4 linked regions of the Lonchura striata genome follow. The protein of the gene in region 2 purifies or fractionates together with the protein of the main gene of each other region. This does not show direct contact. Links are inferred from orthologs where the notes say so. Each region holds a gene or a part of one and is shown on either strand. Other genes may lie near its edges. The genes, in order: SETD1B, CXXC1, OGT and BOD1L1.

Region 1 (7,109 bases), on a different chromosome or scaffold from region 2:
TGCTGTGTTGGTTGTGCACTAAACTGTTGAAACAAAAATATCAGCATTTTTAAGAAAATGGTGTTAGCAATATCTTTTTCCCAAGAAAGAGTGCAGCAAACCAGTCTTAAACTAGAAATGCCACCTTTAGAATGTAGAAGTACAATCAGCAACTGATCCACACCTCCTCAGTCTTAGACATTTTCTAAAATTCAGGCAGATTTTAGCAAAGCCCTTTCACTAGCACACTGGGAGGAGAAGAGAACAGACCAAAGGCAATGCCTTCACACTTGCAGAAACTTTATTTGGCTTCTGAGGGCTCGGGAGTGGGGCTGGAGCTGGTTCCTCCAGCACAGGGAGCTGCTGTCGCTTTAAGAGCCAGTCTCACACTTATACACTCGCACACACTGACAAGTGCTGCGTGTGCACTCTGCTGTGCCAGCCCCCAGCCCGCTCTAAGTATCAATGAAATGCCAGGCACGCAGGGGACAGCACCCAGCCCCGCTGCTGCCACCGGAATCCACAGATTTGGGTCCCAGGACTTGCCCAAAAATCCCAAGTTTGCAAAACGCAGGTGCCACCGGGTCCAGCAGCCCTAGCAGGTGGCTGAGAGGGACCAGCCTGGGGCAGGGAGATGGGGGACATGAGAGGGTAGCAAGCAGGGACAGGGATGGGCAGGGGAGAGGCAGGATGGCAGCATTTTGCAAATTACAGGGCTGTCTCTTAGCAACAGACAACACATTTGGCTCCACGTGACTCGCCCAGGCCCCAGACACCAGACCCGCTGCCGGCTCCCTTCGTATTTTTAATCACAGGTCCCTGCCCTATGCAACAGCCCCTGTGGTGGGAGTGGGACGGGCAGGGGCTCTGCAAACCCCAAATGTGCCCCCTCACCTTTTGTATCCAGCTCCACGTGGATGATGTTGCCCATGACAGAAGTGTTGTGAAGGTGCTGCACAGCCTCCCGGGCACCCTTGACAGTGGCAAAGATGACTTTGGCAATGCCCAGGTGCTTCTTGTTCTTGGGGTTGTAGAGAATCTCCACCTCTTCCACTTCGCCGTATTTCTTGCACATGTCGGCCAGAAAGTTTTCACGGATGTTGTCGTTCAGCTTGGCAAAGGTGACCTGCTTGGGAGGCACTGGCCCCACGTAAAATTCATCAATCTGGAAACGAGCACAAGGTGGGGAATGATAAAAATTATCGGCATTGTTAATGAGTACGGGGGAGGGACCTAAGGATGGCACGGGACGGAGGGGGTTAAACCATCCTGCAAACTTTGGGGTGGAAAAAAAACCTCCAAGGCTCTGGGTGAACCTCGGAGCTGAGCAGAGGCTCTGCCGCTGCAGCCAGTCATTGTAACCGGCTCTTTTCTGGGCTACAAAGATGCATTTTGAGCAGTACTGTCAGCGGAGAGCCCCCCCACCACTGTCCCCTGCCCCAGAAGCCCCAGCTCCAAAACCTTCAAGTGATCTCGTTAGACAGATGCATTGATTTCTTGTTATCCTCATAGAAGAGGATTATTGTTAAACAGTTTGCTAAATAACAATGTTAATATAAATATGACTGTCATTTAAACGGTCCATTAAACTATTTGGAACTCAGGCTTCACTCCCAGATAAACAAGTTTCCAGAGCTAAAGCCAAAAGTCAGGGCAGTACCTTGAATTTGGGGACAGACAGCTCCAACTCCTTAGTTTTGGTCCATATTCGCCCTATTCTGGGATCCCTGACACAATCCACAGGAGCGATCCCCGAGTTCTGGGAGAAGGAGGAGGAGGAAGAGGAGGGGAGAAAACATAGAAACAGCAATAACAAGACTTGAAATTTAAGACAAAAATAAAAGAAAAAATAAATCCCGAGGAAGCACGGGCTGTCTCAAGGGAAGGGGAAAGCGCACACACACACGTGTCAAATTGCAATACTGCTGGGAAATGCACACAGATTGGAAACACAGAAAAAAGCCGCAGGTTTGGGCTCCTGACAGTTGAATACACAGTGTCAGGTGGCTGTAACTTTGGTGGCTGTGCGTGTCCCCCCCCCCCAAGACCCCCCTCCCACACACACGCGCTACGGCGAGGATTTCCACGACCCGGAGGGACCCCCAGCCCCCAAAACGCCGGTAAAACAGAGGCTGGTGGGGGGAGGCACGACACAATGGGGGAAACCCGGGAGCCCCCCACTCACAGGCATGCTGAAATGTTGCCCATCGTAACGGTAGAGTTTGTGCTGTCCTTTTTTCAGAGCCGGGTCAATAATCAACTTGTAACTTCTCCAATGGTGATTTCTTTTCTCGACAGAAGTGCTGGCTTGCGTGCTGTTCTCCATTCCGTTGATCCAACCTGAACGCGGGGGGGAGGGGGGGGAAGAGAGAAAGGGGTAAGGGGAAAAGAAAGAAAAAGCACACTAAAAACCATAAAGTTAAAAAAAATATTAAACAAAGACATCTTCGTTTCGGTGTGGGTTTTGTTTTTTGTTTTTTGTTTTTTTTTTTAACGAGCCGCCCGATCTACACACCCAGGCAGGGAGGAAATCCACCGCGAAACGAGCCCCAAAATGGGGGAATTGCCAACTGGGTCCCCCCCTCCACCCCAAGCAGACAAGAGGCAGAGAGGGAGGAGGAGGAGAGGAGAAGGGAAAGGGAAAAAAAAAAAAAAAAAAAAAAAAAGAAGAAGACGAAGGGGAAAAAAAGACCCAATCTCACTTGAACTCTGCTTTTTGCCATGATCTTCAGGGTGCTTGGCTTTTTCCCCCGCCTTGGTCTCTCGGAAAGACATCGCGCTGGGCGGCCGATCGTCTCCGGGCGGCGAAAGGCGAGCTCCCGTCTCACATGGGGCCGGTTACCGGCGCGGGCTGCCCGCCAGGCTCCTGCCTCCCGTTTTCGCGAGCCACCACATATTGTGTGTGTGCTCGCTGCTGGCGGCGGCCGGGATCCCACAATACACCGCTGCGAGCGCCGCGAACGCCTAACCGCGCTCCGCCGCCTGCACATTCACGGCGGCCGCGCCGCGCAGCCCCCGGCCCGCGGCCGCCCGCCGCCGCCCCGCCGCCGCCGAGCGCCGCCGCATGGGCCGCCACCGGGACGCGCGGGTTTTTTTTCCCTCCCCGCCGCGGGGTTAACGGCATGCGGGGGGGCGAGTGGAATCTGCCCGCTGCATTTACCTTAGAGCAAACTGTTTCTAAACAAGATGGACCTATAGGTGGGACAAGTTGGTTTTTTTTTTTTCGTTTTTTTTTTCTCTTTTTTTTTTTTAGGGAAAGACTTCAGCGAGCCCGGGCGACCGCGGGGGCGGGTGGAGCGCGGACCCGCCGCGCCGCTGCGGCGGAGAGTGCGGGGGGGGGGGGGGTGGCAACACACGCAGAGGAAGGGGTGATGGAAGATGGGGGAGCAGCTTTGCTTATTAAAGGTCCGGAGCCCTCGTCAGCCAATCAGCGGGGAGGTTCCATTTTGTTTTCGGTGTTAGAGGCGGGCGGCGCGGTGCCCCCGGCGCTCGGCGGGCGCGGGGCCGGGCGGAGCGCGGCGGGCGCATGGCGCGGCCGTCCCGGGGCGCGGGGCCGCGGCGGCCCCGGGAGCGGCCGCGCCATTGGCTGGGGCGGCGGCAGCGCGGTGGGCGCAGCCAATGGGAGCGCGGCTTCCATGGGGCTTGAGTTATTAGGCGGCGGGGTAAAAGCACCGCGCGGCAGAAGCCAAGGAGAGGCCGCGGGACCCGCAGCCATTTTTCTGCAGTGGAGCGAAATGGCCAACTGGGCTTTTCCTTTGTTCCATAAAGGGGGATCCGCCATGTGAATCCACACCACGCGGGGTGGTGGGAGCCTCTAGCACGGTGCCAGACGACTCACTGAAGAAGGAGGATTTAAATATATAGATATATCTCAAACCCTTAACAAAAAAAAAAAAAAAAAAAAAAAGTAATGCGGATTTTTTTCACCCTTATGATTCGGGATCCATCTTTGTCTTGTGTAACTAGGTCACGGCACACCCTATGTCAGCAGTTAACAATTTCGAATGCCAACAAAAAAAGAGTAAATACATTCTTTTTCTATTTTTTCATTGTTTTGGGGGTTTTTAAGCTTTAAGCAGCTCTGATGACTGAACAATAAATTTGAGAGACTTCTCTCTTGTATTAAACACTTGATTCCTGGCCATTTTTATTAACTCCTTTGGTGCTTAAAAGGTAATGTTTTAAATATGGGTATAGGAATAGTAATTTCTGGCAAAAAAAAAAAATAAGGCAATTTTACTATGATAAGCTTTTTCTCTTTCTTTCCTCTTACATTGTAAGTACCCAATCCATTCTGTCCTCGCTAAGTGTAGTTTTCATGTTAATGTTACTGAAGTGGTCCTTATTGCTAAGCCTTCATTTGCATGTCTTATGTTTTTGTCTGTTTAAACCAATTTATGCTTTTTGAAATATTTTACTTATAAAGCAAATTATCTGGCTAAGATATGCTTAAAAGTTGTTTAGCACCAGTAAATGTTAACTAGGTGTTTTCACACTGACATGTGCAGCCTAAAACTATTGAGGAGAATATTTTTAGTGTCTGCGTGCTCTGTGGAAAAACACTGAACGTCCTTTTTATGTACAGAGTAAATCTGCCACAGGAAGGTAGATTTAAGCCTCGAGCAGGAGTCCTCGCCTGTGTACGGTCAGTCAACATAGCTGGACTTTTTCTATAGCTTTTTTTCCCCCTTTTTTTCCTCTTTTTTTGATGCTAGACCACTGTCACACAAAGATCCATAACTTATCTTAACAAGATCCGCTTTGCCTCGCAAACTTACGAGAGAAGTGGTGATACAGATCATATATATACTTATAGCCATTATTTTAAAAAAGAGTAACAACTTCACCTTCAGAGCTGCATTCAACTATGGTGTGCGGGTAAGTAAACCCTTTTGCCCTTGCAGAGGAACAAATAGCCCAGGCCTGTAGCTAATGGTATTGTCCTGGGTGGAAAGATCCCAATGGTCGTCTGAAAGCGGTGGCGATCTCCTTCTCCTCAGAAACATCTAACAGTACCTCTGAAACGTCTGTTTTCAGGGAGGGATTTGATTTCTCTTTCTGCACAAAGCTCTTGGTCGTCCTCAGCCCTGGGTGGGTTTGGTTTTTTTTTTGGTGCGGAGAGACGCTGTGAATCCATTGCAGGCAGGCATTACGTGGCTGTTAAATTGAAAGCACAAAAAAAAAAAAAAATCTGCCTGTGAACAGTAAGATGTTAGTGAGGTTGATGTTAAAAAAGGCGAGAAGGCGGTGGTGGTGGTAGGGATCCCTTACATGTTTTATCCGTCTAATTACAGAAGCTCGACAAAAAACAGGCAACAAAATGGGGGGGTGTTTTTCACGACGGTGAGTCTTAATGGCGGATGTCTCCCTAGAAAGCACTGTAAAATCCTTCATACCGAGAGGCAGTGACTTGGAGAGAGGGGGGAAAAAGGAGGTCTGGAAGTATATCCAAAATGAGGGAGTTTCCTTCCAAGTGAGGGACCCTTTGCAGCCTGAGTGTTACAGATGGAGAGCCGTGACGCAGTTGATATTCACAGCAGTTGTGCTTTAGTGCCGCCACCCAGCCCACGAAAATGGCCTCCCCGCCGAATTCTGGTGGGTTTATTATGTGAAAGGCTGCGGCAGCACCGTGTCCCGGGCGGCGGGAGGGGCGGGCACGGCGCTCCCGGTCGCGCTCCGTGTTGTGTGAGGGCAGCCGCCATCATGGCTTCTCCTTCCCTTCGGCGCCGCGTTCTCCTCAGCGCTGGGCGGTGGCGCGGCGGGCTCTCCCCCCGCTGCCTCCCGGCGCTCCGCGTCCCGGGCGCTGCAGGGAAATGATGGGTTTGGGGTGTTGTTTTTTGGTTGGTTTTTTTTTTTTTTCCCTTTTCCCCCTCCCATCCCCCAGCGCTTTGTGAGGGGCTGTGGAAGGGCGAAGCTGGGCAGGGAGCAGCGGCTCTTTCTCCCCGCGCACAACATGGCGGGAGCGCCCTGCGGCAGCGGGGCTGGCGGCGCTCCAGCCGGGCCGGGCGGGGGGGCGGCCGGCCGGGAGGACAAAGGCAGCTCGGATAATGCCGGCTGCTATAAATAACACCGCCCTTCCCCCGCCGCAGCCTCCTGCTCTCTTTATAAAAACAGCAAGCCATGGAAGTCGCCTAATGCAGAGGGGGGGAAAAAGAGGAACAAACAACACCACCCCCCTTTCCCTATACATATAAGGAGAAAAAAATAAAATGCACAAAAAAAATTAAAGCCCGGGCGGTGTGGAAGACGGGGGGAAGCAGCAGCGCTGGCCGCGGGAGGGGCCGGGCGGCGCCGCCACCTCCCCGCCCGGAGCGGGTGCGCCGGGGGGAGCGCGGCCGCCGCTCCCCGTCACATGGCTCTTTGTTGTTTTCCTTCTCTGCCTCTCCTGGGCTGTTCCCCCTCCGCCATCACCCAGCCGGGGCAGCGCTGCCCTGCCTCCTCCGGCCTGCAGCGCCGAGCTCCCCGGGCCCGCTCGGGCAGGGCTGGCGCGGAGCCGGTGCCGTGCTGCAGTGGAGCCGCCATGGCTCGATGAGGTGTTACATGTGGCGTCTTTTTTTTTTTTTCTTCTTCTTTTTTTTTTTTTCCTTCTGATTTGTTTTTTTGGTGGGATTTTTTTTCTTTCCCCGAGCAGATTCTGCTGCAGCTCGCTTTGAGTGGAGGCTGAGGGTTATCTCGGAATTTCACAATCCTCGCTGTGCTCTGCGGGGAATTGCAGCTTGTGCTCACTGCAGACCCAGAGTAGGTGAGCCAGGAAAGCCTGGCTTGACCAACCACTTCAGAGGGCAGGACAGGGAGGAAAAGCAAACACTGTATAGAGGTGGCCTCCCTGGTAAGGCTAGAGCAGGACCGTCCTGCGGACTCTGAGGGAGGGAGAAGGTAAGTGGCTGCTTGGCAGAGGCTGTCTGCGGGAGCGGCATGTGCCGGGCAGGGTGCGCCCTGCCCGCAGCTCCTGCGGCTCAGCACAAGCCGGTCCGTGGGTTTGTACAACCTGTGCTGTGGTATGTGCCGAGGCTCAGGGCTGTTTCCCTGCGAGGGAGCAGGGTGCTGCCGCGAAGGAGGCACCGCAGCCCGCGCCTTTCGCAACAACTGCGCTCATCGCTCCATTCCTCGCTCCCCCCCTCGCTCCTCAC
Region 2 (7,500 bases):
AGGAACATGGAGACACAGAGACAGAGAACAAGAACACACAGGGACACGGGACACTTGGGTACACAAGACATGTTGGGGACACATCGGGGACACGCTGATAAGAGTGACACAGACATGGAACGTGAGGACAGCGAGACAAGGTGACACAGGGACATAACAGATGTTGGGAACATGTCAGGGACACTGTGGACAGTGACACACAGACATGGGGACACTTGGGGACACCTCAGGGTGACACAGGGACAGGCAGCAGTTTTTGGGGACATAGAGCACGTGAGCAGTGGGGGACACGGGGACATGCCACGAGCGTGACACATCAGGGATGTGGCATGAGGTGACAAAGAGACACAAGGACACAGCAAGACAGTGACAAAGGGACACGGGACAGGGTGACAAAGGGACACGAGGTGGTGACAGAGGCCACACGACAGGGACACTGTGACAAAGAGCCACACTGGGGACACAGCGGGGACACACCAAGGTCACCCCAACACCCCCAGCCCTGGCAGGCACTGAGGCCACGCCACACAGGGGACAAACCCCACTGCCAACACACACCAAGGACACGCTGGGGACACACTGGGGACACGTTGGGGACACGCTGGGTGCCCGCTCACCCGCGCCCGCAGCTGGCACTGCCGCAGGCGGCACTTCTGGCGGATCTTGTTGGGGCCCCCGAATTTCTTCATGTCCCGGCAGAAGTCGCACTGCCCGCAGTCCTCGGGGCGCCGGCACGCCTCGCACTCCCCGCACATGCGGGCCGAGCGCTTGATCTGGGGTCGGGCACCCAAAAACGGGGTCAGGCACCCCGAAAATGGGGTCAGGAACTCCAAAAATGGGGTCAGGCACCCCGAAAATGGATTCAGGCACCCCAAAAGCCACCAGGAACACCCCAAATCCCACCAGGGTCACCTCCGCCTTGCACTCCCCACACACACGGGCTGAGCGCTTGATCTGGGGTCAGGCAAACAAAAATGGGGTCAGACACCCCAAAAATGGGGTCAGGCACCTCATAAATTGAGTTAGACACACCAAAATCCATCAGGAACAGTCCAAATTCCATTAGGGACATCCTAAATCCCACCAGGGACACCCCCACCTCGCAATCTCCAAATGCAGGCTGAGTGCTTGATCTGGGGTCAAACACCCCAAAAATAGGGTCAGGAGACTAAAAAATTGAGTCAGGCACCCCAAAAGTCCACCCGGGACACCCCAAAACCCAATCCAGAAGGGATCTCAGGCACCCAGAGAAGGTCAGGGGTCTCCCAAATCTCCCTCAAAGCACCCCCCAGCTTCCTGCTGTCCCCCAAATCCTCATCCCAATGGACTCAGGCACCTCCCAGCCTCCCCCCAGCATTGGGGTGTCCCCCTTAGTGGGGTCCCCACCCCCTGAGCCCACCTTGGCAGCCCGGCCCTGCTCCATCTCCTGCCCTTTGGCCCCCTCATGCTCCTTCTCCCGCCACTTCTTGTGCCGGTACCGGATCTCCAGGGACGGATCCTTCTCTGGGAGGGGGGTCACAGAGGGGTCAGGGGGTCCACCACCGGGGACACCCCAAAAACGGGGTCAGGCACCCCAAAAACAAGGTCAGGCATCCCGAATCCCACCAGCAACCCCTCAAACCCCACCAGGACACCCCCGCCTCGCATAAGGGCCGAGCACTTGATCTGGGATCAGGCACCCCAAAAACCACCCAGACCCCAAGTGTCCCTGGAACCCCCCCAAATCAGAACCCCCCACCCCTCTAACTTCAGCCCAACACTCCCCAATGACCCCCCAGAACCCCCCCAAAGCCCCCCAGAGCCCCCAGCCCCTCTCACTGCAGCACTGCCACTCCCCAATGACCCCCCAGAACCCCCCCAAAGCCCCCCAGAGCCCCCAGCCCCTCTCACTGCAGCACTGCCACTCCCCAATGACCCCCCAGAACCCCCCCAAAGCCCCCCAGAGCCCCCCAGAGCCCCCAGCCCCTCTCACTGCAGCACTGCCACTCCCCAGTGACCCCCCAGAACCCCCCCAAAGCCCCCCAGAGCCCCCCAGAGCCCCCAGCCCCTCTCACCGCGGCACTGCCCGCAGTACCACTCGCGGATGGCCTTGGCCATGCGCTCGGTGATGTTGATGCAGTCCCCATGGAACCACTCGTTGCAGTTGTCGCAGCCGCTGCGGGACAGGGGAGACACCGAGACCCTCAGCCAGGGACCCCCGAAGCCCCCCAGGGGGACTCTGCACCCCTCCCTGCTTCAAGGCACCCCCTCAACAGCCCCAGGGGCCAAGACAAGCTGGGACCCCCCCAACTCCCACCCTGAAAAGCACCCAGGACCCCCAGCTGGCCCCTCAGATCTGCTGCGACCCCTCAGACCCCCCCTCACATCATGAAGCACTTGGGGACCCCCAGACCCCCTCACATCCTGAATCACTTGAGGACCCCCATTTCCCCTCACACCACGAAGCAGTTCAGGACCCCATTTCCCCTCACACCACGAAGCAGTTCAGGAGCCCCCCAATTCCCCCTCATACCACGAAGCAGTTCAGGACCCCCATTCCCCCTCACCCCATGAAGCAGTTCAGGACCCCCCCAATTCCCCCTCACACCACGAAGCAGTTCAGGACCCCCCCCATTTCCCCTCACACCACGAAGCAGTTCAGGACCCCCGTTCCCCTCACACCACGAAGCAGTTCAGGACCCCCCCAATTCCCCCTCACACCACGAAGCACTTCAGGACCCCTATTTCCCCTCACACCACAAAGCAGTTCAGGACCCCATTTCCCCTCACATCATGAAGCAGTTGATGTCCGGCTTGCGGCACACGCAATAAACCGGCGCGTTCTCCTCCCCTCCCGGGGCCGCCTCCGCGTCCGAGAATTCGCTGTCCTGAGGGGGTACCGGCGGGGGTGTCAGGCCCGGGGGTGCCCCGGACACCGCAGACCCCCCGAGCTCCCCCACACCCCCGGTCCCCCCCTCACCATCGCTGCCGCCGCCTCCGAGGGACGCTCCGGGCTAGGCCCAGCAGCGGCCGGAAGCGGGGGCGGAACCAACTTCCGCTTCCGGTACGGGAGAACGACGTACAGCATGGCGGCGGCCAGGGGAGCGATGGCGGCCATGAGGGCCGCCGTGTTTGGGGGGATTGCCACCCGCGGTCGCAAAAAAGACGCCGGAGAGAGCAGTGGTGGCAGGGCGTTTATTGGGGACGTGGGGGACAGCGGGACGTGGGGTACATTGGGGATTTTAGGGGACATGGGGGACATCAGGGACCTGAGGGGACGTTGGGGGCACATGGGGAAAATGGGGACATAAGGGGACACTGGGGACATGGGGGACATTGGGGAGAAACTGGGGACATGAGGGACATCGGGGACATGAGGGCACATGCGGGACATTTTGGGGCACATGAGGACCTGGGGGCACATGGGGGACACTGGAGAGAAACTGGGGACATGGGGGAAAATGGGGACATGAGGGACAATTGGGAAATGTGGGGAGGATGGGGGGAACTTGAGGGACAATGGGGGACATGGGGGAGCTTTGGGGACCAGAGGGGGACAATGGGGGACATGAGAACACGGCAGGCACAGGTGGCGCGCAGGTAACACGCAGAGGTGTGGCACAGGTGTCCCGTGGGGTGTGTCCATCTTGTCCCCATCACTCTGGCTGAGCCTCCAGGGGGCGCTGCAGCTGCTGCAGCTCCTCGGCCAACCTGGGGGCGGGGCCAGAGGTGGGTGGGGCCAGGTGACAGGGCCACACCTGTCCCACACACCTGTCCCAGGGGTCCCACACTTGTCACACACCTGTCCCAGAGGTCACACACTTGTCCCAGGTGTCCCACACCTGTCACACACCTGTCCCAGGTGTCACACACCTGTCCCAGAGGTCATACACCTGTACCAGGTGTCACACACCTGTCACACACCTGTCCCACACCTGTCACAGGTGTCACACACCTGTCCCACACCTGTCACAGGTGTCACACACCTGTCCCAGGGGTCCCACACCTGTCCCAGGTGTTCCACACCTGTCCCAGAGGTCACACAGCTGTCCCAGGTGTCCCACATCTGTCCCACACCTGTCCCAGAGGTCACACACCTGTCCCAGGGGTCCCACACCTGTCCCACACCTGTCCCAGGGGTCCCACACCTGTCCCACACCTGTCCCAGAGGTCCCACACCTGTACCAGGTGTCCCACACCTGTCCCACACCTGTCCCAGAGGTCACACACCTGTCCCAGGGGTCCCACACCTGTCCCAGGTGTCCCACACCTGTCCCACACCTGTCCCAGAGGTCACACACCTGTCACGGCGCTGCCGGCTCAGCTGCTGCCGGCCCAGCTCCACCTCCAGCTGTCGCTCCGCCCCCTCCTGGTCCTGCTGCACCAATCGCCTGCGAGAATGGGGGTTAGGGGGCGGGGCCAGGCCTGAGTGGGCGGGGCCACCTTGGCGGGGCGGGGCCAGAGCTGGGCACTCACCTGAGCACAGGTGCCTGTGGGCCCAGCTGCTCCTCCGTGTCCATCACACGGCGCTCTGCGCAAGGGGGGGACACCGGTCAGCCCAAGGGGGCACACCTGGGTTTGGGGGGGCTCAGGTGTCCAGGGGGTCACTCAGGGGCTTGTGGGAGAGGGGCTCAGGTGGCCCAGGGCCGGTCAGGAGATCACTCAGGTGTTGGCAGGGGTCACTGGGGTGTCTGAAGGGGGTCCTGGGGGTCATTCAGGTGTCAGGGGCTCACCCCAGCTCAGCCACTTCTCCTCCATCTTCTCCAGCTGCACCAGTTCAGCCTCCAGGTGGGCCGGAGCCTGTGGGGGGACAGTGGTGGGAGGGGGACACGGAGCAGGGGACAGGGTGTGTGATCCCAGGGTGTGCCAGGACACCCAGGTGTGCCAGGACCCCCAGGTGTGTGAGGGACCCCAGCCCCGGGCTTACGTGTGTGACACGCAGGTGCTTGAGCTCCTCCATGATGGACTCGAGCTGCTGGCAGTGCTGCCACCTGAGGGTGAGGGGACACAGGGGTGACACGGTGGCCACATGACCTGTGTGGGTCACCTGGTGCCACCCCCAGCCCACTTGTGTCCCCCAGCCCCACCTGTATCCCTCAGGCTGTGTCCCCCAGCCCTACCTGTGTCCGCCAGCCCCACCTGTGTCCCTCAGGCTGTGTCCCCCAGCCCCACCTGTGTCCCCAGCCCCACCTGTGTCCCCCAGCCCCACCTGTGTCCCTCAGCCCCACCTGTGTCCCCGGCGCAGGTCTTTCAGCTGCTTCCAGTGCTGCTTTGTCCCTTCCATGTCCTGCTGCTGCTCCAGGCAGAGCCCGCAGTGCCTGTGGGGGGTCAGGGGCCACCAGGTGTGTTTTGGGGGGGGGGCACAGGTGAGGTTGAGGAGGGTCACAGGTGTTCCCACTCACCTCTGGCCTTTGGCCTCCACCTCCTTCCCTTGCAGCTGCGCTCTCTGCAGTGACTCTGGGGGGTCACAGGGGGTCACAGGGGGTCACAGGGGTTGAGGTCAGAGGGGTCAGGGGGTCACAGGGGCCAAGGGGGTCCCTCTGTGTGGGGGAGTCAGGAGGGGCCACAAGGGTCAGGGAATCATGGGGGTCAAGGGGGCTAGAGGTCCAGGGGGCATCAGGGGAGGTTTTGGGGGGGCCCCAAAGACCCCAAGGCCCCTGGGCTCACCCTGCACCTGCTGCCAGGACCTCTCCAGTGCCTCCTTGCGCTGGTCCACTGTGGGGAGGGGGCAATGAGCTCAGAGCCCTCTGTCCCCGCAAACCCCTCAGGATCCCTACACACCACCCAAGGACCCTACAGACCCCTCTCTGTGTGTCCCCAGACCCCTCAGCGTCCGCCTCCAGACCCTCTCTCAGTGTCCCCCACCAAAACTCCTCTCTATATCCCCCTCCAGACCCCTCAGAGATCCCCCAAACATCTCAGTGTCCCCCTCCAGACCCCTAAGGGATCCCCCAAACCTCTCAGTGTCCCCCTCCGGACCCCTAAGGGATCCCCCAAACATCTTAGTGTCCCCCTCCAGACCCCTAAGGGATCCCCCAAACCTCTCAGTGTCCCCCTCCAGACCCCTAAGGGATCCCCCAAACATCTCAGTGTCCCCCTCCAGACCCCTAAGGGATCCCCCAGACCCCTCAGTGTCCCCCCAGGTGACTCACGCTGCTCCAGGTGCTGCCGCAACCCCTCACTGCAGTCTTGTGCCTTCACCAGCTCCTGTGCCGTGGTCTCACGGACTGTGGGACATGGTGGGACAGAGAGAGGGACGCATGGGACACAGGGGGACGTGGCAGGCACATGAGGGAGCACAGGAGGGCATGTGGGACATGGGAATATGGGGGAGCACAGGGCTCCTCACACTCACCTTTCTGCAGGCTGTGCATCTGCCTCAGCAGCACCTCCAGCTGTGGGATCCCCCCAGGGGGACCTGAGGGGGGAACTGGGCAGGACGCAGGGACATTGCCCCTCCTGGGGACACCCGAGACCGCCTGGCCCCTGGGGCGGGGGGACACTGGGACACAGGGCGGTCTTGGGGGGTCCTGGCTGTAGAGCCTCTCACTGCGTGGGTTCAGGTCCATCACTGAGCCTGCAGGAACATGTGGGGACACAGGGTACATGGAGGGGACGGAGGGTACACGGAGGGGACACAGGGTACATGGAGGGGACACAGAGTACATGGAGGGGACACAAGGGTACACAGCGGAGACACAGGGGTACATGGAGGGGACACAGAGGTACATGGAGGGGACACAGGGGTACACAGCGGAGACACAGGGGTACATGGAGGGGACACAGGGGTACACGGTAGGGACACAGCAGATGATGATGGTGGGCACTGGTTTGTCCCCTCCTGTCATCTTTGTCGTCTTCTTAGTTCCCCTTTTCCAACCCTCAGCCCCACATTTTCTGTCACACTTCACCATTTCCTCCCTCCTTATCTCTTTTCTCCAGGGTTTCTCCCATTCCTGTCACCTCTTTCCTCCAGTTCCTGCCGCCTCTGTCCCTTTCATTTCTGTCCCTCATTTCCCTCTTGCTCCATTTTCTGTCACCCACACCCTCTTTCCAGTCCTCTTTTCACACCCTTCTGTCTTGTGTCCTTACATTTTGTCCCTTTTCATCCCCCATTTGCCCTCACCTTCTTTCTGCAGCTTTCTCAGCTGCTATCCTTCCTATTTTCTCAGGTTTTCCCACCCTTTTCCCCCACACGTTCTCCTGTCTTTTTCCTCCCCTCACGTTTTCCCGCCTTTTTTCCTCCCCTCACGTTTTCCCGCCTTTTTTCCTCCCCTCACGTTTTCCCGCCTTTTTTCTCCCCTCACGTTTTCCCGCCTTTTTTCTCCCCTCACGTTTTCCTGCCTTTTTTCCTCCCCTCACGTTTTCCCGCCTTTTTTCTCCCCTCCCGTTTTCTTGCCTTTTTTCCTCCCCTCATGTTTTTTTGCCTTTTTCCCCTCACGTTTTCCCACCCTTTTCCCGCCCTTTCCCACTAACATTTTCCTGCTTTTTCCCTAATTTTTCCCACCCTTCCCCCTCATG
Region 3 (7,956 bases), on a different chromosome or scaffold from region 2:
CTTAAATGAAATGCCACCTATTTTAGACAAAGCAACCAGAAGTGAGAGAAGTAAGTAAAATTTCTTACAAAGTAATAAGCAAGTGCAACTTGGAAAACCCACAACCATTCATCATAGAAAGAAGTGTTGGCCTTCAAATTCTGCCTTTATATCAACAACTCTTACTATTAAAATGTTTGATTACTCCAAGTATCTCTCATTTTCCCTCCTGCACTCTGCAGCCCCTTAATTCCATTCATTAAACACTTTCCACCTCATCCTACAGTTTTAAAATTTGGACTCTAAATGAAACAGATAAACCTTTCCTAATACAAGAAAGCACCTCAATACCTGAACCTACATTTTTGTAGTAAGGTAGTACAAAAGTTCATGATTTTGTGAGAACTTTAAAGATGGCAAAAATAATCATAATCATATAATTTATATAATCATAAAGATAAATACAGATTTACTACCTAGCATTTATTTTATGAAATTGGGATTGATGTAATTTATTTAAATTACTTTCAAATTTGGGGGTTTAGCACCAGTAGGTTTCAGTATAAGACTCCAAGTCCTGTATGATATAAGTACAGTATTTTTTCCAGATAGTGTATTGTCTCTGCCACAGTAAATTTGAACTACCACTGCCAGTCTCTTTTTAGATAACTGACAAATTAGTAACCAAGTATCTTGATCCAGATTAGATTCCTGTTTTTCAAACCCTGAGTAAGAGCAACGTGGACTTCAGGATGTGGTTAAACATACTGGCAAAGGTAAAAAGGTACAACCTTTATTCAGTATGAGAATGTTGAACTGTGGCTGAAAACCACACTGCTTATAAATGGTGCTGACAGTAATACTGGAGCACCAGCAAACTGTTCCTCACTTGGTCCCTGTGCTGTTAACAGGTTTTGCCCTTCTGGCAGTCAGCGCCAACTTCCGCTGATGGCACAGAGAAACCAGATAGAGGAATAGCGTGTCTCATGAACTCAATTTCTTCTTCAAATACATTTCAATTGTTTTAGTAAATGTCAAAGAAAAAAAAAAAAAAAAAAAAAAAAAACCAACTAAAAAGCACCCCAAAGCTTAACACCCCAGAAGTTTTCACTTCAAGACTTATGACTGCAGGGAAAGAAGCTTTCAGTCATAATATCAATGCTACATTTTGCCTACTTAAAGCAAGAAGTCAAACTGCAGGTGCAACTGCCAGATCAAGAGAGCAGGCAGTGGAGATTTAACCCCTGAAAATGAGAACTACTAACAAAACCAACAAACGAAGAAACACTTGACACTTTCTTTAATTTATCAAGAGCCTCTGTTTACAAAACAAGCCAAAACCTTTGTCTCCAGAGATAGGGCAACCTCAGTGTAAAACTGCCAGTCATCTACCTCCAAGCAGTTATTTTATAATCGATTGTGAAGTACACTGAAAAGCAGAAGTGGACAGCCACATCACGAAGCCCAGAACAAATGAAACTTTTAATACAAAGTTGGCTGGAAGTTATGGAGTGCAAAATATCCATAAAAGAGCCCATGAAAGGATGCTCACTGAATCAATTAGTAAAGAAAATAACTGCAGTGAGAAGTCACAGCCAGGAAAATCCCTTTTCGTGTCTTGCATAAATTAATTTCTGTACCTTGGCTAATTTGTGCTGCATGCTTTGACTGTGACCTTGGAAAAGTCTAGTACAGTGCTGTGACAATGACCTTCCCTGAGGGTTCTGGACGATACAAGCAAACAAAAAGCTGCACAGAACCACCAGAAAGGCACCCAAGGCCATTTTCCCCCCACAAATACCATCCTAAGCACTTGCAATCAAGCTCAACCTTGCCTTCAGACACCATCTAGTTCCAGACAGAAGCAGTGGTTCCCTCCAGCTGGGAGGTGCTGGATAGCACAGGACTCCCTCCCAGCGTGCACGTGGCTCTTTTTACCCGCAAGGATCCCGGCTACAAGAGGATGCTGCAGCCTCGCTGACCACACACAGTTCTAGCTGAGAAAGTACGAAACACCGTACTGCAGCACTTCTCCGTATCACTACCGCTTCTCTTTAGATCCCTATCTCCTGCACCGCTGTCCCGTCTCTTTCTCCAAAAATCCTCCTTTTCCTTTTGCTTTTCCCAAGCATCATTTCAGCTCTCCCCACCCCCCCTGATTACAGAAACCCTCAAAATCTGGGGGATAAAGCTGCGCTGTCCTTTCACCCTTTCAGTAAGCCAACACTTCTTTCTCTTGCTGTACAAAGGAAGTCAGATTTCTCCTCCATTCCTCAAGTTCTGGATCTGCGAACTAAATTTAGGGCAGGATCTTTCCTTGATACAACACGCAATTTTACTGTTCAGAAAAGCGCTTTAGCGTTCGTCTATGCCACAGAATCATGGAACGTTTTGGGTTGGAATGGACCTTAAAGATAATCTCGTTCCAATGCCACCGCCACGGGCAGGGACACCTTCCATTCGACCAGGCTGCTGAAAAAAAAGTCCTGCCTAAGTGCAGCGAGCGATTCTGGGCAAACCAACGCACACTTTGGGTCAGGCTTTTACCCTACTTCGCCCTCTAACGCAGTCACCTGATAGTCTGGTAAATATAGCAGCGAGCCCGCCGCACTCACACCTCCCCGGCAGCGGCCCGGGGCTGCCCACGGGCAGCGCCCACCGGAGCGCGCCCGGGACCGCGCCGGGGCCCGGCACGCACAGACCCCACGGGCGGCGGGCACCGCGCCGGCCGCGTCCGGAAACCTCCGCTGGGCGCCGGCCCGGCCGGCGGGGAGCGGCCCCGGGGCCGAGGGCACGGCCGGGCCCCCGCCGTCCCCGGCCAGCCCGTCCTCGGCAGCGCCGCAGCGCACGGTACCTGTGCTGTCCGCCACGTTCCCCACGGAGGTCGCCATCGGGACAGGAGACGGGGAAGCTGTGGCGGCGACGGCAGAAGGTGCGCTCGGGCCGGGCCGGGCCGAGCTGCCCGCGGTCGCGGCGCGCTGAGGCGGCGCTCCCGAAATGGCGGCGGCGGCGGTACCGAATGGCCGCGGCCGGAACTATCCCCGCGGAAAAGAGTCCGGGCGGCGCCGGGCAGCGCTGCCACACGGCGGGCGGAGGGACCTGCTGCAATAGGCACGGGTCGAGATAAAGTTATCCTTCCGCGCGCAGCGCTGCGCCAACGGCGGCGGCACTGCGCATGCGCCGCCGCCTCCCGGCACTCCCGCACGTGGCCCCGCGGAACCGGCGGGACCGCGGCGGCGGGACGGCGGGGCTGGGACAGCGGGGCTGGGACAGCAGGGCTGGGACAGCGGGGATCGGCCGGCGGGGCTGGGACAGCGGGGCTGGGACAGCGGGGATCGGCCGGCGGGACGGCGGGGCTGGGACAGCGGGGCTCGGCCGGCGGGGATCGGCCGGCAGGGCTGGGACGGCGGGGCTGGGACGGCGGGACGGCGGGGCTGGGACAGCGGGGCTGGGACAGCGGGGATCGGCCGGTGGGGCTCACCGCGGCATCAGCTCAGACACAGTGCAGCTCCGTCACACGGACAGCAGAGCTCAATAACCGGGACACCGGAGCTCACCGTGTACCCGCACAGAGAAATGGCAGCCAAGGCGTCCGTGTCCCCATTCCTGCTGTACTGCATGAGCTCCGTCAGCCGCACCAGGACTCCACACCGAGCTCCGGGGACTGCACTAGCTCCCCGGGGCACTGAAAGTTAGCAGTCTCCGGTGAACCGGGAGCCTTCCTAAAGGTTCAAATCACCAAAAGTCTGGTTTCTGGAACCTGGAACTTACTGCAACTTCTAGAAAAAGCAGGGCAGCTGTTTCTGAGGTATTGGTAGGAGTTAGGCAGTTCCCAAAACCACTGAGGGGTCAGACATCAGACACTGTATTTGTAGTCCCAGAGAAAAAGCTCCCCTTTATGAAATGAAAATTGCCTTAAAATTGTTCATCAACAGCAAGTATTTCATTCTGAGCAAGCATTTTTCCTGACAGATACTCATTTATCCAAAGAGCCAGTATTTCTGAGGAATTACTTTACACCTATAAAGACTGAAGAACAAACCATACAAATCTCTATCTGGATTCTGGAACCAGTACAGGCTACAATAAGCCAAGGCTTCAGCAGGACATGCTTGTCTAATGCTTATTCTTCATCATTTACTCATTCATATAACATGTTTTATAGTCAATTAAAATATATCTTAAAAGAAATCTTGTTAACACAGCCCACACTACACTGTTCCTCACACCAAACTCGGACAAGAGAAATTCAGGAGGCAAGAGTGGCCCAGGATGACCATTATCTCAGGGAAGGGACTTCATTCATCTGAGTCCAGGTCACTGTCTCCTGCAATGGAGTGAAAATCCTCGCTGTCCTCCTCATCCTCAGACAGATGGACCTGACTTAACACACTTGGCCCAGACCGCTGCTGCTCTTCCTCCTCTTCCTCTTCTGAGATCTCATAGCCTCCAATGCTGCTGAAACTCGTGTCTCTTGTGTTGGACTTTGGGTCTGGTTCTTCGTAGCTGCCATAACTAGAAGAAAGAAGAAAATTTCAAATTAGTTGCTGATACCATCAATTCTGTATTTAACTGCTTAAGAGTTGGCTTGAAGTCCTGTGAACCCTAGGGAACCACTGCACATTTCAATTCTGTCACTGGCCAGCTTTTTAAAACAGAAACTAAAGAAAAAACAGTTCTCCAAGGAAACAATTCCAGTATCTTCACTCCACTCTGATACACTTCAGGCAGGAAAAACTGATCGCTCCCACAGCTTCTGTCACCTTCCCTGCAGACAGAAAGTGCAGGAATGTTTTCAACCCATTCTCATCTTCTCCAGTACTTCCTGCTGACTCTGGTCAAGATCCTGGGCTGGAATGACCATTGCCTGCCAGCCCAGCTACCTTTTAGCTCTGATGCCTGTGATTTATTAGGCAAATATCAATAATGACACTAAGGAACTGACTTCCACAAGTAGAAGAACAGAGAATCAAATACTTATACTCAACAGAATGCCCAAAGAAGGCAGAGTAGGTTGCTGTTCTCTTGAATGCAAAAAAATAAAGCTGATACTGTTGTACTTTTAATTTTCTAATAATTGAACACCTTCCAAAATACAGAAGATGCATATTCCTAGACTTCTGGACTTCAACTAAACAACTGAATTTCAAGTCAGGACATACTTGTTCTTAGAGGGAAAAAAAAAAGTCAATCTGTTAAATCACTTTTTAACTTCAAAGGCATCTTGTAATTGGATATAGCTTGTAAAAACCTTTTTTTGTCCTGCATGAAAAACCACTACAAATATGCAAGAAATCATCTAACTTAAAAGAAAAAAAATTGTGGTTTTTTTTCTAATTTAATTGGTATTTTTATTAGTGAAAATATAACAGCATCCCAAATTTCTGTCAGTAAGACTAAATGGTTTTTATGATTGCAACAGTAAGAACAGTCACAAGTTAACTTTAAGCAAAATATTAGATATTCTTCAGGTTTTTATGATGAACACTTCAAAAATCTTTTAAGAGAAGAGATTTTAACCAGTTCTAATTACCTGATATTGCTGTCCTCCATTACATGAGATGTCTCCCCACCATCTCCTTCATAGGACATCATGCTTTCTTCATTGTCCATGCCCATCCGTGTGTTCTCTTGAAGAACATGAGGTTGTTTGGGTCTCACTGCATTGGGCTCCACATCTGAGTCACTGCCACTCTCACTCAGCTGGATAGCTGTGTAATGACCAAAGTTTGGTCACAAACTGACAGGTTTGTTCTGTCACTTACATACCCACTACTGTCTGTGTTTAAAGGCTGCAGTGTTGACTGTAAGGAATGTTTACAAAGTCGTGTCTCCACACGGCAGCAGAAAAGGTGTCTGGGAGGTGACACCACTTACTGAGTGCCCAATTCTGATGTTATTCCAAAGCAATCTCATTACCACCATTACTCAGAAAGGCCTTATGTCTTGTCTACTCTGAAAAATTCCCCCTTCTTCCCTCCTAATAATTTTCAGAAGTCATTGCTAAATACCACTATATGCTTTTCTGCATAAGTTTGTATTAAAACATAGAAACAATCTGAATAACCTCTGTACACCTCTTCCTGTTTGTGATAACATTGCTTTTTATGACAACATTAACATTTTACATTTAACATTGATAACCCTATTTCATGTCAAAATAAATGTACTTTTACTAGACTACCCATTCCTGGCTCTGCATACCAAATCATACTCGCAGTGTTTTCAGAACCATTTGCAGTTTTACTTTATGACATACAATCAACAAGATCTTGTCTTAACTCTGCTTTCATGTGTGTCTGTACATACAGCATTCTCATTACACTTTTGTTTTCAGTCCCATTTGTGTTCATCCAGTTTCCTCATCTTGCCCCTTTGGTCTCTGCTCTCTAGAGCATGTTTTTGTGATAGAAGCATGAGATCAGCTGGGTTAATGAACAATCAGAAAAGGACACTTACACGAGAAAGGATTATCTCCCTCTTCATCACTCCCATCATCATCATCCTCTCCATCAGACATAAGCAAGTCTTCATACAGGACACTGGCTTGGGTCTGCTGGGCTGATCCTTCTTCTTCATCAGCAAGGTCACCATCTGCATCTTCAACTTCCTGGGTCACACAAACAGGGATGATGAAGATCCAGCAGCATGCTACCATTTCTATCATAGATTTCCCACTCTATCCACTCTGAAGCATTGTGTCATTTTGCAGTGCTAACTTTTCCAAACTGCATTTCAGAGCCTGTCTCAGGGCAGCAGGCACAACAGACAGCTCTGCAAGTCAGCACATACACTGTGGCTGGGATTTCTGTAAATACACTCACTGGGGCTGGAGTCTTGGGCTTGCCATCATCATCCTCATCAAATCCTTCAATATCCACATCAGAGTCTTCCTCGCCCAGCCTACCTCGTCCCTGGCGCATCTGGATGGGAACACAAACAGCAGTGACACTCAGGAGGGCACTGCTGACATCACCCAGAACAGCAGTGGCACTGAGGAAGGATATACTGGACACCACCCAAGGGGTGTGAGGGACACCTGGGCCACAGAGATGGGTGTGGGAGTACAGGAAGGGAAAGACAGAAAGGAAAATATGTGTATCACTCTCAGAGCAAGGATCCTTTTTATTGCAAGATCAGAGAGCACAGTCTCCACACACTTCTACCTGATGTGCTCATCCTTGAATTGGCAATCTCCAGCCTTACAGACCAGAGTTCCTTGTTCAACTAGTTATTTCTGGAAAATAGCACTAGGTTGTAAAAAAAGTGCTTATTTTCATAATATACTTTAAAAGCATACAGCACTTCCCTCAAATATTTTCCTGTCCTTCCCTTCCTGTTCTTCCCACAGTCCCCATGAGTCCAAGATAAAGAAAACATGCAGATTCTGTCCCAAAGACTATAAATTTCTACAGAAAGCTTGAATACTTCCAAATCTAGAAGGCATTCACAAAGCTACAGATGGCTACAATACTACACAGAACTATTCATAACCAATCTCTGTTTGCCTGCATTGTTCAGAATAGCTCTCACCAGTCTTTCTGGTATCACCTTCAGTCTTATGACTCCTCACTTTCTTCATCCTACTAGTAATTTATTTTCATAGTCCTATTACTGCATATCCTTCTGCTATTCTCTCTCCTTCAACATTTATTGTTTTGTTTAATACAGAATAAAGACTAAGGAAAAATATTCGTGGTTACTGTAACAAGTTCATTTCTAATTATTTAATCCCTTTAACCTGTGTGCTTTTTCTTTTCCTTTTACAACTATGAGGTATCTACAGTGGCAACCATCTGTTCCAAGCTCCTAATTATCATTGGATGCAACCATAATAATCTAATTATGATCTTGTGAATCTGTAGAATATCCTTCACCATTTCCCTATTCAGAATTAACAAGGGATTGCATATTAACCCTCTGTAGCATGAGTCACCAGGTTTCTACTTCCAGAAGTAGTGAAGCAAATAAATACCT
Region 4 (7,707 bases), on a different chromosome or scaffold from region 2:
ACGATGTGTTTGGGCAGGAAGCACTGTACAATTACCAGAGATCCATTTTGCACTGTGACACACCACTGTTCCCGAGCTCTGCCTACAGAAAGTGAGGAATGTCAATGGGAGTGACATCTGAACACAGCCCTTGTTCAACTTTACCAACATCCTAATTCAGATGACAACGTATATAATACATATTCTTTGTATATATATGTATATACACTGCAAGAGAAAGTTGATAGCTCACACCTCTAATATCTCCATAAATGTCATAGAAAATCAACTCAGCGTACTGACTATATAACAAGACTATCAGAAATACCTTATCACTTATCATTTTAGAACAAGCTTTGAAGACGAAGCATTAGGCAGAGTAGCACTGAGAACTGCAGCTGGCTTGTTAACCCATTTTAAAGGAAGTGGGCCCCACAGGATAAAGGCTTGGATTTAAATAAAGGTTACAAAGAGATGGATGGCTGTGAAGTCTCTTAGAACAGGAAAGAATGGACAATTACCTGCAGGAGTGTTTAGGAGTTGATACAGGTAATATTAGGACCTTAGCCATCCAAATTTTATGACACACAGCAACTGCACAGGGAACTGTCTCTTAAATAAAAAGCTGCATCATTGTTCTCTTACACATCTATGTCTTATCTGATCCTATAATACTGAGACCAGCTTTTCTCCCCACAATAAGCTGATCCCTCATAATCTCACCAGAAGTGAGTGAGTGACATGGTCACAGCGTGACATCTCTTTTGCCTTCTACATTTAAACATAGAGTAAGAGACAAGTGTTCTGGCATGCTGCTTGGAGCTCAGCTTGCTAATACTGATACTAACAGCATTATGGTAGCACAAAACCTAGTAAATGATTCTGCTCTCTTAAACACCATTCTTTTGTTAATATACTACTCAGAGAAATGGTAGAATACCTTGTACTGTAACTGATGCATCTGCTTTCTCCTCACTTGGAGATGTACTGGGGCCTGCCTCCTCTTTGTGATTCAATGTGGCTAAAAATTCATGGACAGCTTTTTCCACCTGAGGTCTGAATGTGTGGTTGATCTTTGGGTCCACAACCTGAGAAATAATTCTGTCAATTCCCGATTCCAACATTCCAGACCTGGAACAAAGTTACATAAATTAGTATGAAAAAATAGTTTTTAAGATCATTTAGATGTGCTCCAATGAAGCACCAATGTTTCCTGGGCATTTCCACAGCTATGCACTTAGCCTGTGCCTTACCCATAAGAAAAAATGTGCTAGAGAAACAAAACAATCCAAGCACATGGAATTAATACAAGCAGCCTGTTGTTACATCATTAGTGGTTACAAGTGTGATCAAACTGCAAAAACAGTATTTCTGGAAAAAATTTAGAAGAAACTTTGTATTAGGAATTACCATAGCAAAAAAGAGATGAATTACAGATGGTATGAGGCATAAATAACTACTAAACCACTCATCACTACCCTAAGTTACTTTCTGCCCAGTATTATGTGGCAGGTTCTGCAGCTTTATAGAACACATTTAGCCTTCAGTAAAATAAAAAAGAAAATCCACAGCTATAAAGCTTATCTTTTTAGACCCCTGTAGTCTTTTGTGGGACATATGACAACTCTTGTTGTCATTGCTTTTTTAACAAGAAAGAATAGTTGCTTCCTTCCCTACAAACCAAGCAGTCCTCAGTACAAGTTATCAATGGTACCACCACAGTACAGCTGATTAAGTTTGTCCCCAAATCCGAGGTTTGACCCAATTTAATGGCCAAACTCATGGTACTTTGAAGAAATTTCCTAATGTTTCTTTGAAAAGAAAGTCTGAAGGAACCTTCATGAAATAATGTCATATCAGGTTAAAGCGTCTGACAAAATTTTAACAATAACACCAGTTCTTAAAACCTCTTCTCTGTCCAGCTGTATTTAAATACATTTTTCTATTTTGTGACTTCAGCTTGATGCTCTGCAGAGTTTAGTCTGTGGAACGTTTCCCCTTAGCTCCAAAAATGATTATTGCAATTTTATTAACACCTCCCTTAAAAGAAAAAGCAAAGATAGCATTTAGCTAGGGAGTTACATCTCAAGTCAAAATCGAGTTTTCCACCCCTGCATAAACTTGGATCAGATCAAAGAACATCTGCAGTCTAATTCTGGCTAATACTGAGGGCAAGTTACTACCCCCAGTAGTATTCCATTTTCAACACTGAGAGGGGAAAACAACCCAACTTCTTCAAACATTTCTCTTAAGAAAGCAACCCACTTTACACAGACCCAGACCCTTTGTGACCTATCACAGTACACAAGCATATTCAGAGCAGCTCCAGAGCTGTCACTTACTTGAGAACCTGCTGCCTAATGTTATTTCTCAGCTGGTTCTTGTTGAGATGAGGACTCCAAGTATGAGTTGCCAAATGGTTGGAAACAAAGTTGTCAACGCGCTGTCTCAAATTCTGGTAGGCAGGCTAGAAAGCAACAGCAGAGAGGTTGGACGGGAAGGATCACGTACGTGGCTGGTTATCCTCCGGGAGGCCAGGCTGGTACAGCAAGGAGCCCCGTCGGAAGCCCCGGTGCTCCGCAGGCGCAGCCGCTGCCCTGCGGCAGCGCGTTAAGCACTGCCCCGCCGGGCCCTGCGCGAACCGGGCGTGTGTGACCGTGCGTGCACGGCCGGCCGGCCGCGCTCCCGCCGAACGCGGGCTCCGGCTTCGCTCCCCGGCCGCGAGCGGAGCCGGCCCCGCGGCCGCTCCGCACCGCCCGGCGCACCGCCCCGGGCCGGGCCCGTCCCGACCGCCCGAAGCCCGGGGAGCCCCCGAGCCTCCGCTCCCGCCCGCCCGCACCTTGGTGTCCACGTCGGCCAAGCAGTCGCGGCGGAACTGGTCGAAGAGCCCCTGGCTCTTGAGGTGGTTAACGATCATGGAGACCAGCTCGGGCTCGGCCGCGCCGCCCCCCGCGCCGGCCCCGGCCCCCGGCAGCGGCGGCGGCTGCTGAGGGGGCGGCGGCGGGGGCGGCGGGGGCTGCGGGTTGGTGGCCATGGGGGCGGCGGGGCGGCGGCTGCTGCCGGCGGTGCCGGCCGGGCCCCGGGACGGGGCTGCTCAGCGAGCAGCGGCGGCGCTGGCCCCGGAAGCGGAAGGGGACGGCGGGAGGAAGCGGCGAAGGGGGCAGGCGGAGGCGCCGCCGCCGAGAGCGGCGCCATCGGCGCGGGACGAGCACTGGCGCGGCCGCGCGCAGCCGCCGCGGGCCCTGCACAGGGGCGGAGGGGGCGGAGCCGCTCGCGGCCCCCGGGCCGGCGCGACCCCGATCCGCCGGGCCGAGGAGGCAGAGGAGAGCAGCGGCCGCGGCGCCGCTCGGCCTCCGCCCGCCGCGCACACGGCTCCCCGCGCGGCGCGGCCGCCGCCGGGCGCTGCGGGCACCGCGGGCGCGCCCCTGTCCCCGCCGCCCCGCGCCGCTGCTGCGCTCCCGGCGGCGCCGCGCGGCCCCGCCCTGCGGCCCGCCCCTTCCTGCGCCCGCCGCCATCGCGGTGCGGCGGCGCGCGCGCTTCCTCCCTCAGGGGCGGGGCGGCGCCGCGGGGTCACCGCCGGCGGAAGCGGATGGGGCCGCGATCCGCGATCCGATCGGTCGGGATCGCGATCGGAGTCGCGGTCGCGTCGCTCGGGACGTCTCGGGGCTGCTCCTGGCTGATAACGGGCGCTGCCTCCGCTCCCGCCCCGTGCGGCCTCCGGGGCCGCTGTCGCCGCGCCCCTGGAGGAAGCGGCTGGAAGATGATACTTAAAATACTCGAATTCAAGCTTGCCACCTTTACCTATCAGTGCATTCTCATGCGTTCGTGTAAAAGAAACGTCTTCAACACATTTCTTGTTTCCTGGTTGCCTTCTTGGCCCTTGTTTTTCATGTACAGTCACAACTGTCCAATGTGCTGAGGCAAGGAAGATTCAGATTAGATATTAGAAAACATATTTTTCACTGTTTGGGTGGTCAGGCATTGCAGTGGGTTGCCCAGCAAAGTGATGGAGCCACTGTCCCTGGAATTGTTTGAGGCATCTGGACCTGGTTCTGTGTGATACAATTTAACCTGTAGCCTCTGCTATATATGTTTACAAACTGGTTATGACTAAAATTGCTTTTGCATTTGCTTTTAAGACACTCTTAAGTTTTTGACATATTTTTAATACAAGAAGTCTCAGCAAGTTTCCTAATGTCTTCTAAATAACGTAGACAGCAGATGTAGTTACAGATGCAGTTGCTAAACCTCAAGCAATATTTGAATTGCTGAGGAAATACTAAGATATGAGACAGACAGAAATGAGATGTATATTATATTGTGGGAACAAATTGTTACATGGCTGCAGGCTGGAGAAGTACATGAAAGTACAAGTCACAAATATCAGGGAAGGTGCTTGTGGCTTAGAATGCCTGCTCTGTGGGCTACTGGGGACTGGGAAGGTATTTTTTTCTGTTTCTAGCTCTAGGCTTTTTGTTCCTGAATATGAGAACGGCTCTAAGGCTGAGTAGACCCATTTCGGCCATTGCTGTCACGTCAGCAAGCTGCTCAACTTGTGATTTCAAATTAACATATTTTTATCTCAGATTTTGTCTCATTTTTGTCTAACTAGGGGCACAAGTGTCATAGGAATAAAATACTGTGATGAATTTGGAAATACTTTTACTTGTAGTAGCATAAGTAAACATAAAGCACTGGCAATAGCTCACTTTTACTTTTTTAGACAATGTTGCAGAAATCTTATTTTATGCATGGCTACCACAGGCATCAAATTCAGAGTGGCCAACTGATTCTATGAGTGTTCATAGACTTAAACTCTGTTGAGGTCAGTTCATACCATAATTGTTAAAAATGATGACTGAACTTGGCAGGTTTGTTGCTATTTTCTCGTTTTTGTTTGTCAGTGAAACACTTTGTGTAGTTTTTTCCTCAAAAACTTTGTTCATGTTGTGTATGCTGATAATGAATCTAAATTTATGAAGTATGTGAAATCCAGGTGACAGCTGGATTAAGAAAGTAAAAAAAGAAGGTAAAAGTCCTTCACTTTGCATGGATTAATCTGAACAATTTTGGTAGTGATAGGAGATGCCCTTCTTCTGTGATGAATTCTGTTGCAAAATTCTGTGCTGTGCAAAGATAAAGTACTGCTGTTGGTACTGAGCATACAAAGGTGCTGTTCCTCTTTAACCACTGCAGTCTTTTACAGACAGAGGTACACAGAAAGGGGAGCTCTTTAGTAACATTTTGAGTTTTGTACTAAAAATAAAGACTTTTCAACAGGAATAACTTAAATGCCTGAGCAGATTCTTGGATAGTAGAAGCTCTAAAGCTGCCCAACACCAACAAGAGATCTGTCCTGGATGAATTGCTCACTTCTTCCTCTGCATATGTGGTAACATGTCTGTGGCTTGCACCATCTGTGTTACCATCCATTCTCTGAGGTTTATTATCTTTTATTGTGTGGCTTATTGGTATGTTGTTTATTATGGCACAATAAACCCTAGAACTGGATGGTGAATTGATTTGTTGTATGAATGTGCATTGCCTGATGCATATTTAATTTTTGTTTCTCCCTGTGCATAAACAGTATACTTTTATGATTATCTCTAGGTAGAGAAAGCCTCAGATTTTCTGGTCCTTGCTATTGCAGGATTTTTCTAAAAAAAAAGGCAAAATTATGCCTAGGAGCAGCACTAGTAATCATAATCTAGTCCGCTGTATTTTGGAGCAGCAGAGAAACGGTGCCAGCATTGCTGAGATTTTATGCTTCATCAATAACAGCATATGTGGCTTCAGCTAAGCTGCAGCGTGAAATGCTGTAGTTGCAGGACTGAAATGTAGCCAAGGCACGGACTATACCTTCAGCTGTGATGTGACTGGAATGGTGTCCATATCCTTACATGGGAATAGTTGCAGTAGATAAAATGTTATTGGACTGCCATAAATGGAGGATATGATTCTGTCATCCTTTTTTTAGGTATGTAAATAAGAACATTTGGATAAACTGTTTAGTAGTGCATGCTTGAAGTGCTCTTTCTGGCTTGTAACCATGTTTCCTTCATGTTTTTATCTGTTCAAACAGGTGTATACATGTATTTATATTTTTTATTTGGCTGGCAAGTAGGCCCTGTATAAAATGTGAAGCATGTGGCTTGAGTGAATTATCTGTAGAACAGCAAATGTATTTTGCTTCAATGGGAGGCTGCCTGTTGTGTTTTCTACATGCAAGCCTTTGGGAAGTGCATGAAAACAGTGACTAGACAACATGTTTTTAAGTGATGAAAGGAAAGCTTTTATTTGGAGTAGGCTGTCATGACCTTGCACTGACACCTCAAAAACTCTTTGGTCACTTCTAAAGAGAGCAAAACTAAAACTACCATGTGACTCTGGTTCTCCCACTGGAACTGACCAGGATAACTGTTAGTGATGCTTAAGTTCAGCAGAGATGGACATTTGGTGGCTCCTCAAATTGACAAGTTAAATAGATAGACTGAAGTGCTTTGTAAAAATACTAAACTTGTCATGTTCAGTAGCTAATATAACTGCTTGTATTTGCTGGGAAGATTGTCTGATTAAAGTTTGAGAAAAAGCGAAGTCTTGTAAGTCACATTTCATCAACCTGGATTTTTTAATACTTTTTATTGATATGCAGAGACAATAACTCATTTTATGTAGCCTAACATGGTAGAACCATTTAAAGTTACACCTCTGAGTATAACTTTATCTGAAAAGTTAGGATTATTTTTTCCAATTTCAGAACTTCAGTGTGACACCAAACCTGCACATAATGCTTTTTAAAGTACATTATTTTGAAGGTACAGCTATGCCTTTTCTCCATTTTTCTTATTTTATGTCTCTGTCAATGCCAAGAAATTGAGTTTCTGGATGCCCAAGTTTTGTGAGATGAATAGAGCCTTTTTAGAGGGTGACATTTGAGAGCAAAAAAAGATTACTGTCACAAATAGCTTTAATACACAACATTACTTGATTTTGTTGTTGTTGTTGTTGTAACCAAGAAAGGAATCTTCAAGGGCAGATGGAGCCTTGACCTGCCTGTGAGAGGAAAGCCCATCTGTGTGGCCGTGGCTGTGACTGGTGATGCAACGTTTGTGCTGTTCTCTCTCATGGCAGTGAGAGAAGGGACAGGCACATGACAGCTTTCTTACCTCTTCACAAGCAAACAATGACTAATGGATGTAATATTGTTGGGATTGTTGTTGGCATCTAGGGAGTTTGACATTTAATTCCTGCTAATGTGATCGATGATCTCAACATATCTTTTTTTTCCCCTTTTTATTCCCTGCTTTTTTTTTTTTTATTTTTTTTCTTTTTTTAAATGTAGGTTCCTGCATGCTGGAGAGTTACCACTTTGTTTCTCCATTCTGGTGAAAAATGATAGAAGGAGTTACTGGGCTCCCTTTAATAGAGTTTTTACTTTGGTGTTTGTTTTTGACTGGAAAATACATGTTTTTGCTATTTGTGTACAGGGAGACAGAGAAAACTTAATGGAAACTTGTTCTCCAGAGAGAGCACAAGAGATTATATATTCTGTCTACACTCTTTCACTTTTGCCAAAATGTAATTTTAATGGTAAGGTAAAATGGTACAGCTTAAACATGAAAGCAGAGTCAGTGGATACACAAAAGCGTGACACATTTTATATCAGCATTCTTTGCTGACTACAGCAAGGTGAAATCAAGGTGGAAGCATCGCTTAAATGGAATGCAT

Evidence for each region.
Region 1: the proteins of CXXC1 (region 2) and SETD1B purify together in Homo sapiens (affinity purification with mass spectrometry; 11 studies listed by BioGRID and IntAct, counting the BioPlex papers as one, with this or other methods). This does not show direct contact. The link is inferred for Lonchura striata from reciprocal best matches to the Homo sapiens genes CXXC1 and SETD1B.
Region 3: the proteins of CXXC1 (region 2) and OGT purify together in Homo sapiens (affinity purification with mass spectrometry; 3 studies listed by BioGRID and IntAct, with this or other methods). This does not show direct contact. The link is inferred for Lonchura striata from reciprocal best matches to the Homo sapiens genes CXXC1 and OGT.
Region 4: the proteins of CXXC1 (region 2) and BOD1L1 purify together in Homo sapiens (affinity purification with mass spectrometry; 5 studies listed by BioGRID and IntAct, counting the BioPlex papers as one, with this or other methods). This does not show direct contact. The link is inferred for Lonchura striata from reciprocal best matches to the Homo sapiens genes CXXC1 and BOD1L1.

The regions. Positions count from the first base shown.
Region 1 is NC_134620.1:12,363,907-12,371,015, forward strand, and holds the start of SETD1B (histone-lysine N-methyltransferase SETD1B), read right to left. Parts: upstream 3,007-7,109; 5' UTR 2,755-3,006; coding exon 2,682-2,754; intron 2,320-2,681; coding exon 2,165-2,319; intron 1,739-2,164; coding exon 1,640-1,738; intron 1,145-1,639; coding exon 874-1,144; intron 1-873. UniProt on the Homo sapiens protein: Histone methyltransferase that catalyzes methyl group transfer from S-adenosyl-L-methionine to the epsilon-amino group of 'Lys-4' of histone H3 (H3K4) via a non-processive mechanism.
Region 2 is NC_134638.1:856,179-863,678, forward strand, and holds the start of CXXC1 (CXXC-type zinc finger protein 1), read right to left. Parts: upstream 3,016-7,500; 5' UTR 2,963-3,015; coding exon 2,960-2,962; intron 2,868-2,959; coding exon 2,770-2,867; intron 2,156-2,769; coding exon 2,055-2,155; intron 1,504-2,054; coding exon 1,400-1,503; intron 774-1,399; coding exon 618-773; intron 1-617. UniProt on the Homo sapiens protein: Transcriptional activator that exhibits a unique DNA binding specificity for CpG unmethylated motifs with a preference for CpGG.
Region 3 is NC_134616.1:18,902,621-18,910,576, forward strand, and holds the start of OGT (UDP-N-acetylglucosamine--peptide N-acetylglucosaminyltransferase 110 kDa subunit), read right to left. Parts: upstream 3,003-7,956; 5' UTR 2,871-3,002; coding exon 2,834-2,870; intron 1-2,833. Other genes in the region: TAF1 (transcription initiation factor TFIID subunit 1), read right to left, coding at 4,278-4,494, 5,513-5,690, 6,439-6,589, 6,804-6,902. UniProt on the Homo sapiens protein: Catalyzes the transfer of a single N-acetylglucosamine from UDP-GlcNAc to a serine or threonine residue in cytoplasmic and nuclear proteins resulting in their modification with a beta-linked N-acetylglucosamine (O-GlcNAc).
Region 4 is NC_134606.1:14,432,739-14,440,445, forward strand, and holds the start of BOD1L1 (biorientation of chromosomes in cell division protein 1-like 1), read right to left. Parts: upstream 3,014-7,707; coding exon 2,819-3,013; intron 2,447-2,818; coding exon 2,322-2,446; intron 1,111-2,321; coding exon 920-1,110; intron 1-919. UniProt on the Homo sapiens protein: Component of the fork protection machinery required to protect stalled/damaged replication forks from uncontrolled DNA2-dependent resection.